Linked DNA regions of Drosophila melanogaster. The protein of the gene in region 3 interacts with the protein of the main gene of each other region in a pairwise test. Each region holds a gene or a part of one and is shown on either strand. Other genes may lie near its edges.

Evidence for each region.
Region 1: the proteins of CG10565 (region 3) and drm interact in a two-hybrid assay, tested with the Drosophila melanogaster proteins (one large-scale study listed by BioGRID).
Region 2: the proteins of CG10565 (region 3) and fuss interact in a two-hybrid assay, tested with the Drosophila melanogaster proteins (one large-scale study listed by BioGRID).

What each region holds. Positions count from the first base shown.
Region 1 is NT_033779.5:3,537,995-3,541,750, reverse strand, and holds the start of drm (drumstick), read right to left. Parts: upstream 2,019-3,756; 5' UTR 1,774-2,018; intron 1-1,773. UniProt on the Drosophila melanogaster protein: Putative transcription factor. May function redundantly with odd and sob in leg joint formation during the larval stages, acting downstream of Notch activation.
Region 2 is NC_004353.4:976,775-980,530, reverse strand, and holds the start of fuss (fussel), read left to right. Parts: upstream 1-2,041; 5' UTR 2,042-2,324; intron 2,325-3,269; exon of another isoform or gene 3,270-3,756.
Region 3 is NT_037436.4:21,134,306-21,138,061, reverse strand, and holds the start of CG10565 (uncharacterized protein), read left to right. Parts: upstream 1-1,708; 5' UTR 1,709-2,184; coding exon 2,185-2,444; intron 2,445-2,552; coding exon 2,553-2,698; intron 2,699-3,156; coding exon 3,157-3,756. Other genes in the region: Ac78C (adenylyl cyclase 78C), read left to right, coding at 1-208, 268-496, 559-704, 842-955.

The DNA.
Region 1 (3,756 bases), on a different chromosome or scaffold from region 3:
CCTTTATTTTTTGTAGGAGGCGGACAGTGAGTTGGCAAGGTGCCATTAAAAATTACAACCGAAAAGTGAAAAGAAGAAACCGAAGCGAGAAAAAATGACAATAAAAGGACATAAGGCTCTGAAGACAAAGGCACCGAAGTCCATTTGATACGAATCTAATTGTGCTAATGGCGCAGAATTCCCGGGAAAAACACCCACACACACGAGATCCTGGCCTGACAACAGAACCAATAAGTCGGTGGAAACAATTAGGATGTGTGGCACTGCCACTTCAGTGCGAACAAAGGAATACCTTCGTAACCCCAAACACAAACACACCACAAGATACAAAGATACAATGCGGCAAGGTATGAGCGATCTTCCCTAGATCCATCGCAAATCGGATGGGAATTTCGTGGCCGAAGCAAGTCGATTTCGGACGCTTCTCACCTTCAGCCCGTAAGATATGACAGTTGCTCAAAAGTCGGCGCAGATTAGCTGCCAGCTGAGCCCATTTACCGTAATCGCTTAGCTAATTAGACTCTAATTGATGGAGCGCAGCGGGAGGTCCAGACGAGGTCAAAGATCAGACAGACGGGAAAGAAATGGTCGCGGGAAAGCAGTAAGAATTTCAGAGGTCACGAAACTCTTACAACAACTTTACTTCAGTATAACTATGTTAAACGAATTTCCCTATATTGTAAATGTTAGTCCTACTTCCAGAAAGTTCCCCTAGAATATGGGTTCTGATTTCTGCGATTTCGCACCAGATTCATTGGAATTTTCGCACAAGTGCCAAATCTCAGGTATTTCAAAGTACCTGACTTTGACGCAACTTTTTGAACATCTGTTGTTAGCTTGAGCCGTACTCATTGGTATTTCATAATCCAATGAAAAAAGCACAACTCCATGACTCATAGGCAAATAACTTGTACCAAAACGGCTGATGATGATATGCCAAACATTCTTGGCGATGATTTGCCGTGTTTTGTGCGTCCGCGATCAACCTTCGACAAACTAGGCTTTTTGTTCTTAATGCTGACTCATTAAACTTCTCAGCTTCTATTCTTTCAATCTGAAAAAATGCCGACGGCTTTAAGAGTTTTCAATTCCTAGACAATTTCAATGGAAAACGACTGAAACCTTTAAAAATAGAACAGGTTGAAAGTTTAGGATACAATAAAAACTTATATTTGTTCTGAAGAGAGCTCAAATGTTTTTTTAGACCAACTTTAATAGAAAATAATATTAAATAGTTTTCTTTTCGAAAATTAATGAGCATTTTTTTATGAGATACAAATTATTTCTTCTTCATTCATTTCGGAAATTAATAACACATTTGTACTATACAATGAGAGATCAATAAACTCGGTTGTATTTCAAGTAGATCACCCATTTTGGGGAATTCGTGTCAAGAAGTGCGGGTAAAAACTTTTTACAGTCCAATAGGGAAATATTCGGACTTGGCGTCCGCCATTTTGGCAAATGGCGACACTTTCTCACGCACACAGAGGCCGAAAAGCTCCGTTGGCCACACGCATGCCATATTAGACGCATCGCCCCTCTCCCTCTGGCACACTAAAGAGCCGAAGTGAGAGGCCCGGGCAGAAAGAGAGGCCGATACACGCACCCGTGTTACGTGTGGGGTTTACTTCTTCTTTTCTTTGCTCAGTTTTCAGTTGTCCAATGAAAGCGGCGTAAAACTGGTAGCGAAACAAGTGTGGAAGGGGGAAGAACGACGAACAGAAGAACACGAAGAACGCCATTGAAGAGAGGAGCTGAAGAAAGACTTACCCAATGGGATGCACTGGAGTTACGCGTTCTTCGGACTCGAGTAGAGGCTAACCGATTTCTATAGCTGAGTTTTGTGCGATTTTCGTATGTCCGCTGAATGGATAGATCGATTTGTATCTCTTTTGAAGGTACTCGCGAAGGAAATGTTACTGATGTTGTTACTGATACTGTTACTGATGAGAGGGAACTATATACGCACGCTCGAGCGGCACAAAGTTGAATGAATGAATGCTACTAATAACTGAAAGAAATAGTAGTCGCCTCTGCCGCCGTCCTCTGTCGGCGTCGCTGCCGGCGTCGCTGCTGGCAAGTTGAGGAAGCGAGATCATCGCTCTGTCCCTGTCTGTTACTCAATTCGGTGGCACTGTGTGAGTGTGTGTAAGTGTGTGTGAGTCATCCGAAGAGAAACGAAGCAAAACGAAGACCGGTAGCCGAAGCTACTGCTCATGCGCAGCGCTCGCTAGCCATCCCTTTCGCTCGCCCTAAGTTCTTATGCGTAAGTACAGAAGCTGGCAAACGGAAGCCACAAAATGGCGTCTCTTCTAACGGAAGCCAAGCGTAAAAGTCACAAAATGGCGTCACTTACCTATTGCGAAAGCACGAAATTCCGTTTGCTATTTGGCAAGACACAAATTGTATGCAATTTCTGTTTGGTAGCACTGTGTTGGGTAATATTATTAATAAAATATATTTCACTTCCGAACGCTTCTGTGCGCGAGAGTCAACTGCAAAGTTACGATCGAAAACTTCAGCTTGATGGGTTGAACTTTTTCTGTTTTCCTTTTTTTGGTTACCCTCTTTTTTACAGCCCTCTCTCGGTTGGCTGTCCCTTTCCCACGCACTGTTTGGGTCGCGGAGAACGAGTTTTGAGTGTTTCAGCTGATTGGTCGGAGGAAAATGAGCTAAAGAGCGAACTGAGAAAACTGGAGAGTGAGCGAGCGAGAGAAGGCTACCTGAGTTGAGTGGTTTCGAAGGCGTTACCTGAGTTGACTGTTAATTAAGCTTAAGTAAGCCAACATTTCAATTAAGTTTAGGCGACTAATGAGTGAAAGGTGTGCTGGATAATGCGGGCTGTAATAAGCTTGCGATTTCTTTGGATTTCCTCGGACTTCTTCTCTGTCTTTCTAGCTGCTGTTTGGCTAAAAAGGTAACTTTCTTTCACTTATACCTGTGTATATTTTTATAGATGTGGGCGTGGCTTTGGGCGGCGCTCTGTCTGTCCCACTCTTTCGCGCCGTCTCGCTCGCTCACCCCCTTTTTAACTGCTTCTTAACCCGTTTTGCGAGCGAGCGAGAGGCCAAATATAAAAACCAGTGGCAGAGCAGAGCAACCGTATTACGCAGTGCTCAATTTTTAGTGTATTTATCTTCTTTTTTTGTGGAGCTCCATTTTGTTTTCAGGGCCTGAGAAACTTTTTTCTCGCATTTCCTTTGGCTTTGCCGCCTCCGCCTTTGTTGTCGCTCTTCTGCTTGTGTGGCCTCTTTAGACCCGAAAAAATAATACTACAAAAACACCATATTGATGGTCTGTTTATCTTTTGTGCCTCACCATATCTGTTTATCTTTTACGATTTCTCAATGAAATCTGAAAAACTGTGTCGTTCATTCAGCAAGAAACTTCATTAACTTAACACCCAGTGTTTTTAATTAGGTGCGCCAGAAAAGGATTGTTTTTAATTAAGTTTTCGCCTGTCCATAAAGCTTAACAAATTATTTTCGACTGCTTTTGGGCATTTTTAAGTGCAATCCGTTGGCAACTCCACTTTGATGGCTTCATCTCTGTCCGCCTCGCTTTTGTTTCACTCCATCTGTGTCCATCTGTCTTATTGTTTTTCGGATCAAATTTGCATATTTTAAATGGCCAATCAGCAAACTCGAAAAGGAGACGTATCGACAATTGTGAGGAGCTTCCTTTTGAAGGAGAAACTAATTATGAACCCTCCAAAGAAGAGTCTGAAAAATGACTTGGCTTACTTGGCAATTT
Region 2 (3,756 bases), on a different chromosome or scaffold from region 3:
AAAAGTTGTTTGGCAAATCGATAGAAATTCACAAGACTAATAAAATTATGAAAAATATACAACCATTTTTTATAAATGTGGTCGTGAAAACTTTGTGCGGTTTGTAAAGTTTAGACTTGGCGTGTCTAAATTAGGAAACCAACTAGTGCTGCGTCTATGCTTTTTGGGTTGAATGCTTATTCTAAGCTTTTAAGCTCCTGAACTTTGGACGCTCTTACGAACGGAAGGACGGACGGACAGTCGGCTATTGATCCTAACCTTGCTAAAAACATTTTCATTTCACCGAACCTAATATACCCTTTTAGTATTCGGGTAACGGGTATAAGCCAAGACTAAAACATATTAACAAATAATGGTAAAATAGCTGAAAGTCCTTCACAAAACAATGGGAAGAATTTTGTTGACGTAGAAAATGAACGCAAACCAGGGCTGCTAAAATTTCCCACCGTGGGCAACGCATTAGTCCCATTAAACGATGTTGCCATCCTTATTTCTACACATATTGGGTGTTGCCATTACGCACTTTGCAGTTGTTTTGAGTTCCCGTTTTGAAATCTACACAAGTACTCAATTCTAATCGATAATATAATACAAAAATTTAACAAAACATGTGTAGGAATAGAGATGTCAATTATTTTCAAGTAAAATTTACTAGGTTTGAGTCGTAGCTTTAACATAGATAACATCAACAGAAAAATGCTTTCATTTTTCCAGCCATCTAGGCACATCTGTTTACATCAAAGCTCTGGCCAATCCACATTAAGCAACTGAGAACGCCATAGTAGAGTTCTCGGGCTACCAGATACCTGTTACTCTGTTAATGGAAGTTCGAACGAAAAATATCACCAATTTTCTGGTATGTCAATTTGAATAGGGAAGAAATAATAATATTAAAAATTTTTTCAGATATGTGACATTTTGGGCGGTTCATGAGCAACTCACAAATGATTTTGGTACATCTATAGAAATTTTCAAATCAAGTACTATACAAAAAACAAAACATTTTTCAACAGTGTGGGCGTGGTAGTTTTGGGCGGTTTGTGGGCGTAAGAGTGGACGTGGCATATCGATAGAAGTTTACAAGATTAATAAAGTGATGAAAAAATTCAAAACAAATTTCAAAGGTGTGGGCGCGGAGGCGTTTACCTTTTTTGGCGTGACAACATCAGGAAACAAACTTGCTCTGCATATATGTATGTATCTGGAAACTGCATGCTTACTCTCAACTTTCTAGATTCAAAATTCCTGCGATCGAGGCTCATGCGGACAAATCGACTCGGCTGGTAATCCTGATCAAAAATATATATGTATATATTTCGGGTCGGAAATTCTTCCTTCAACCTGTTACAGATACACATACTCGGTTAGTAAGAGTACGAACGAAAAAGTTAAAAATTCGTTTTGGCGTATCGATAGATACGGAAGGACCAAAATTGAAATAATTTCAAACTTGAAATTTTTAAAAAATATTTTCATGTTGTAGTGTTTCTCAATTTGATCGATATTTTACAAAAATTTTGAAATATCGAACTTGACTATAGTGTTCCATCTCGGTTTTACATAGAACATTGACCGTCCTACTCTTAAGTACTGCTATAAAATGTCAGTTGTATATGAATTGTGTGAGAATGAGCTCATGTATTACACACACATCCTTTAACTCGCCAATTAAATTCAATTATCGTTACCTAAATTCGTTGGTGAAGTTAATTGAATAGAAAGCAACATTTAACATTTCAATTGTCGCTACATACCTGTACAAAAACAGGGTTGATACCACAAACTATTATATTTAGAAGAGCGCAGGCGCGTACTTTTGGAAACGCCCTGGAAATTAGGATAGTTGATTCTTATTGGCTCATTTTTTCTAGTATGTATATATATATATCTTCTTCTGTGGTGTATCATTTGCTTTCGGTCTCTTATTGGCTATAAGCAGGATTATTTTGTTCTTAGACTTTTACAATCTGGTATCGGTATCGGTTTCCCACTCCTGCTGCTTTTCTTTAAACGATGTCAATACCAACGAATATGGTGTTTCATATTCAGTTTTCGCACCTATTTCGTGTTGGAATAATCTAGTCCTCAAAGAAAGTAACTACTGTGTTAAATTTTTTAACTAAAATCGAGTATACTTTCTTTTATCAAACTATAAGATGTAACTTCAATAATGAGAAATATTACGTATATAAAATATACGTTCCAAATATATTATAAAAGTGGACCGAAATCTTAAAACAAACAAAAATAATACACACAATTTAAGAAACTTCACAAAAAAAACTGTGTTAATAAGGCGAAATGAATCTAAACGGAACTTGAACGTAAGTCAACAAGTGTTAACAAATTTATCTAACAAATATAGAAAATACGCGCACAAATGTTCATAAAACAAAAAGTTCGTCTGACCCCACATCATTAAGGATTTCCTAAATATTTAAATTTTAATGTGGACATAAGGCCACATAGTGACGAAATAAACATTTTGGTTGGTTTCTCTGTCTGTCTGCAACAAAACGTTATTTTAAATTTCGAAAATAAAATCATTAGTTCGAAAAATCAATACTTACAATCGCTTAAAACAGTGCAAAATGTCGTAAAAAGTCTATACCAATGCGTATATATTCCATATAGCATAAACAAGTGTAAATTGTACTCTTCGGTAAATTGTATACGGTAAATCGGTAAGTTGTATACTCCTTCAGAACATTGAATACTATCTGGCTAAAATGTTCTATAAATTGTATACTAAACTCAAAATAAAACGTAATCGAGCTTATCGGTTTAAAGTGATATTTAAAAAAATATATATTGTTTTATTTATTCTTATATTTTTGTACCCGTTAGTCGTAGGATAAAAGGGTATATTAGATTCGGTTAAAAGTATGAAAGGAAGTGTTTCCGACCATATATTAAGCAGGATCGAGTCGGGTCGATCTGACCCTGTCCGTCTGTCCGTATGAATGTCTCGAGCTCAGGAACTGTAAAAGCTAGAATGTTGAGATTGAGGATGCAGCTTCCAGAGACATAGACACATCGACACACACAAAACTGCTACTCCCACACTTTAAAACCGCCCAAAATGCCACGCCCACGCTTTTGAAATTTTTTTTCGTAATTTTAGGAGTCTTGTGTATTTCTATTCATTTGCCAAAAAACCTGTTGCCACGCCCACAATAACGCCCTAAAGCGTTAGACGCGTTTGCGACGCAAACACTTTTGAATTTTTTTAGATTTTTCTTTGTTTTATTGTTTGTCTTGCGAATTTTCTGAGTCTATGGCAGCATGGATATTCACAGCCATTTTATTCACTTTAGCAGTTTTCAAAACACAAAAGCCAAATAGATATAGTTTAGTGCTGCCCGCCTCTGGCACGTCTTGTGGAAAGTGTAGAATCTGTTGTAGATGCAGGACCACTGGGCAGCGACCCTTAGTGGTATTGTAGTTCCTGTGGTGCTTCAACTTGGTGTAGTTAATCAGACAGAAGAACGTCATGCTGGCGACGGTCAGCTGGAAGAAGGGAGCGATCACGGCGCGCTTCGGGAACACGTAGTTGTACTGCCAGCGCCAGCATGCACGGTTCACGGCTCCGGCCACAGCGTTGGGCGTCTTGTTGCGGCGTCCCAGCCAGGCTTTACCGTAGAAGCGAGCGGGGTCTTAGGGCCCGTGCACCTTGGGGTTGTACTCACCTGGATAGTCACCAAATGACACCGCGTTCCTTCGATACTGACAGTATGTACAGTTTGTCAAAAAACT
Region 3 (3,756 bases):
GGATGCCTTCAATAACTTCCAGCTGCGTGTGGGCATCTGCAGTGGTCCTTTGGTAAGTGGAGTGATTGGAGCCAGGAAACCGGTCTACGATATCTGGGGCAATACGGTCAATGTGGCATCACGAATGGACTCCACGGGCGAGAACTGGCGAGTTCAGGTTCCGGAGAATACGGCGGAATTGCTTTGCTCCAGGGGTTACACGTGTGTGGTAAGTGGGTCTTTTGTTACCTATCCCGAATTCTTATACGTTTTTTCAAAATCCCACAGAAACGTGGTGAAATCGCTGTGAAGGGCAAGGGCATGATGACCACCTTTTATGTGCATCCCAAGGGAATATCGGAGAGCCAGCTGATCTCACCGGTTCGCATGCCAGCCGGGATTCCCCTGGCCCAAACCCCGAATCTTCAGCGGCAGACCTCCCATCATGGATCCTTCAGTGCCGTGGTTTTCGGAATGCTTCAGGCTAGCAAACGCAGCACAGCCATTGCCGGAACACGTAAGTGTTCCTTTCGGGTAACTTAAAATTCTTATAACATTAATTTGATTCTAATGCTTAAGCCACGGGCACTCCTTCGCCGCAAATCCGTCGAGGACATCGGGGAAGCACGTTCAGCTCGGTCCGGTTATCCCAAAAGTCCACCACGGTCAATCCTGTGCGCCGGAATACAACCCGTGTTCGGGGACGTTCATATCGACAGAAAAAGGTACAATACGTAGTGTTTCAAAAATTATTATATATCAAATAGTATTTAAGTTGTTCATATGATTCTGTTTAATTAGAAAGAGTATTTTCTAGAACCTATCTTATATAATGATATATTTTTCCTATTCAATATTTTAGAGTTCCTCCAACAACTCGATCGTCACGCAGGCCAGCTCTAGCTATATGCCCTCGTTCCGACGGATCGACCAGATCGAGACGACGATATCGAAGAGCCACAACGATGCGTTATAGCCGAGTACGCGCACTCACTGGGTCTAAGTCGATCTCAAGGCGATAGAGTGTCTGATGAATTTATTTTTGGAACGATTTTATACAAATGGAGTTACGCCGGCATATGTTTCAAAGTTTGGCTTAACACTGAAATGAAATGGTGGAGAACGACACTGAAGCTACTTAGTAGAATTTTTAAATCACCATACTTGAAGTTGCAAGAATTACATTTATCTCAGCACAATTCTAGTCGTTAAACTTAAGAACTGTCGTTTATATGTGTGCGTTTCAAATCTGTTTAGAGTAAGATATTTGGATCTTCCCACAAAAGCCAACCATACGAAATGCCAATGAACCTACTAGCTTCGTTCAATTCAACCATAATGTGTACCAACTAGTTTTCTAGTACTAATAGTCAATTTAACAGCCAGTAATCAATTAGAAAACCAAATATTAGTTGTACAAACCGTTTCTTTTGATCAAAGAGCGGAAATGTAAATAAAGTAAGCATACTTATGTATAAAATATTTTACGACCATCTAAATGTAATGAGGTCAAGTGTTACTGAAATGTGAAATGGATTTTGGCAAATAAAAGGTGTATTACTATACAGCCAGCACTTATTTAGCACTTTAATTGTAATTATACAATTCGTTATAAATAAATGTGATAAGCAAAACTAACAAATGGTAGAACTTAATGGTTTTTGGAATATACGTCAAGTTATCATTCAAATGAATTATAAACAGTCGTTTTCTTAACTATTGTATGACACTTTCTTTTTTTAGTGGCCCATTATAACAAAAACTCGAATGTGGAATGTATTTAATAGTGTAGGATTTGTTATGTAATGAACGTGGATTAATAATTTGTTAAGACGGTTAACTAAATATATAAATCATAAATAACCATTAGTTGAGATACGGTCACACTTTGGCGCCAAACCAATACAACAGTTGCCATTCGATTTTAGCTATAGCAGCTGGCAGCACTGCCAATAAGTGCCAGCGATACATGCTTGCTGTTATCGATCAAATATAGAGTAGGAAGCCAATCGATTTTACCAGCGCCATAATCGATGATGGCATCGATGTTTCACCACCACTAGTCGAAACACATGCGGTGCTGCGGAAAAGTGTGATTATTAATTGGATTTCGACGTTTTGAAGGCAGCGGATCGCCAAATTTTGAGTAACGTGAATCCACAGGAGTGGCGGTGAATGCCCATTAACCAGCGGACCTGACCAGAGATGACGAGCGGTACGGTAGCAACGGCGGTGGAGGTGCAGCTGCCGCTCAAGGTCGTTCGCCGTAAAATCGAGCGCGTTGGCTTCGCTTACTTTGCGCAACGGCGCCAATTTCTAGCTCCCGGCGGCGTGGAGCGCAGCGAAAGCGATGAGAAATTGGAGGGCGTGGGCGAGGAGGTGGACATCAGCTACCTAAAGTCGCTGGATCCTAAGGAGTGGAAGGACCAGGATCATTACGCCGTTCTTGGCTTGGGCAAGCTCCGGTTAGTGCGACGGCAGCACGTGGTGTTCTTCCCATGTGTTCGTTTCTATCAATATTTAATGGGACTTCCCCAACTAATACTGTATTGTCTGACTAAATCACCCTTTAGATACGAGGCCAGCGAGGATGATGTTCGACGGGCTTACAGGCGCATGGTTCTGCTGCACCATCCCGATAAGCGGAAAGCCAAGGGCGAGGAAGTCATCCAGGACGATGATTACTTCACATGCATAACCAAAGCTTACGAGATACTGGGTGGGTGTCAAGAAAATGTCCTTGCTGATCCTTGGGTGTCCTTCGGACTTCGCATTGCCCATGCAAATCGACAGATAAGAATATTTTGATATTAATTTTCAGAGCATTTGCTTAAGCTATATAAAATTATGATACCATACAATCCTGTTGAGTATAATAATCAATTAAGATTTTAAATTATCTGAAACTAATTTATACTCGATCTAATTCATTGGTGTGCTGTTGCCTTTGTCTAAGCGCGCAGAACTTGAAGCTTTATTTTTGCATATCTAAAAATAGGACTAGTTGTTTGCTCTCACATTCTTTTAAACAAAATGCCAAATTATAACTTACTATTATACAACAGAATTTTTTTGGCTTTAAACACTTTGAATAATTGTAAACAATTGTACGAAATAGACAGGAAGATTTTAAACTATTTCCTCTTAAACCATCTAATACTCCATCTTGTATTCCAGGCACATCCAAGCCGCGCCGCAGCTTTGACTCAGTGGATCCCGAGTTTGACGACTCGCTGCCCTCACAGAACGACATCGATAACGACTACTTTGGCGTATTTAACAAATTTTTCACACTTAACGGGCGCTGGAGCGAAAAGCCGCATGTTCCCTCCTTCGGGCAGGTGGACGCCAAACGCGAAGAGGTGGAGCGCTTCTACAACTTCTGGTACGATTTTAAGTCATGGCGGGAATTCAGCTACTTGGACGAAGAGGACAAGGAGAAGGGCCAGGACCGCGACGAACGTCGCTGGATCGAAAAGGAGAACAGGGCGGCTCGAATCAAGCGCAAGAAGGAGGAAATGTCTCGTATCCGGTCGCTCGTCGATTTAGCCTACAACAATGATAAGCGCATTCAGCGCTTCAAGCAGGAGGAAAAGGATCGCAAGGCTGCTGCCAAGCGAGCCAAGATGGACGCCGCCCAGGCCCAGAAGGCAGAAGCTGATCGTGCCATCCGTGAAGCGGCTTTGGCCAAGGAGAAGGCTGAAAAGGCCGAGCAGAAACGCATCGAGCAGATCCGCATCGAACGCGAGCAGCAGAAAAAGCTGCTTAAGAAGGAGC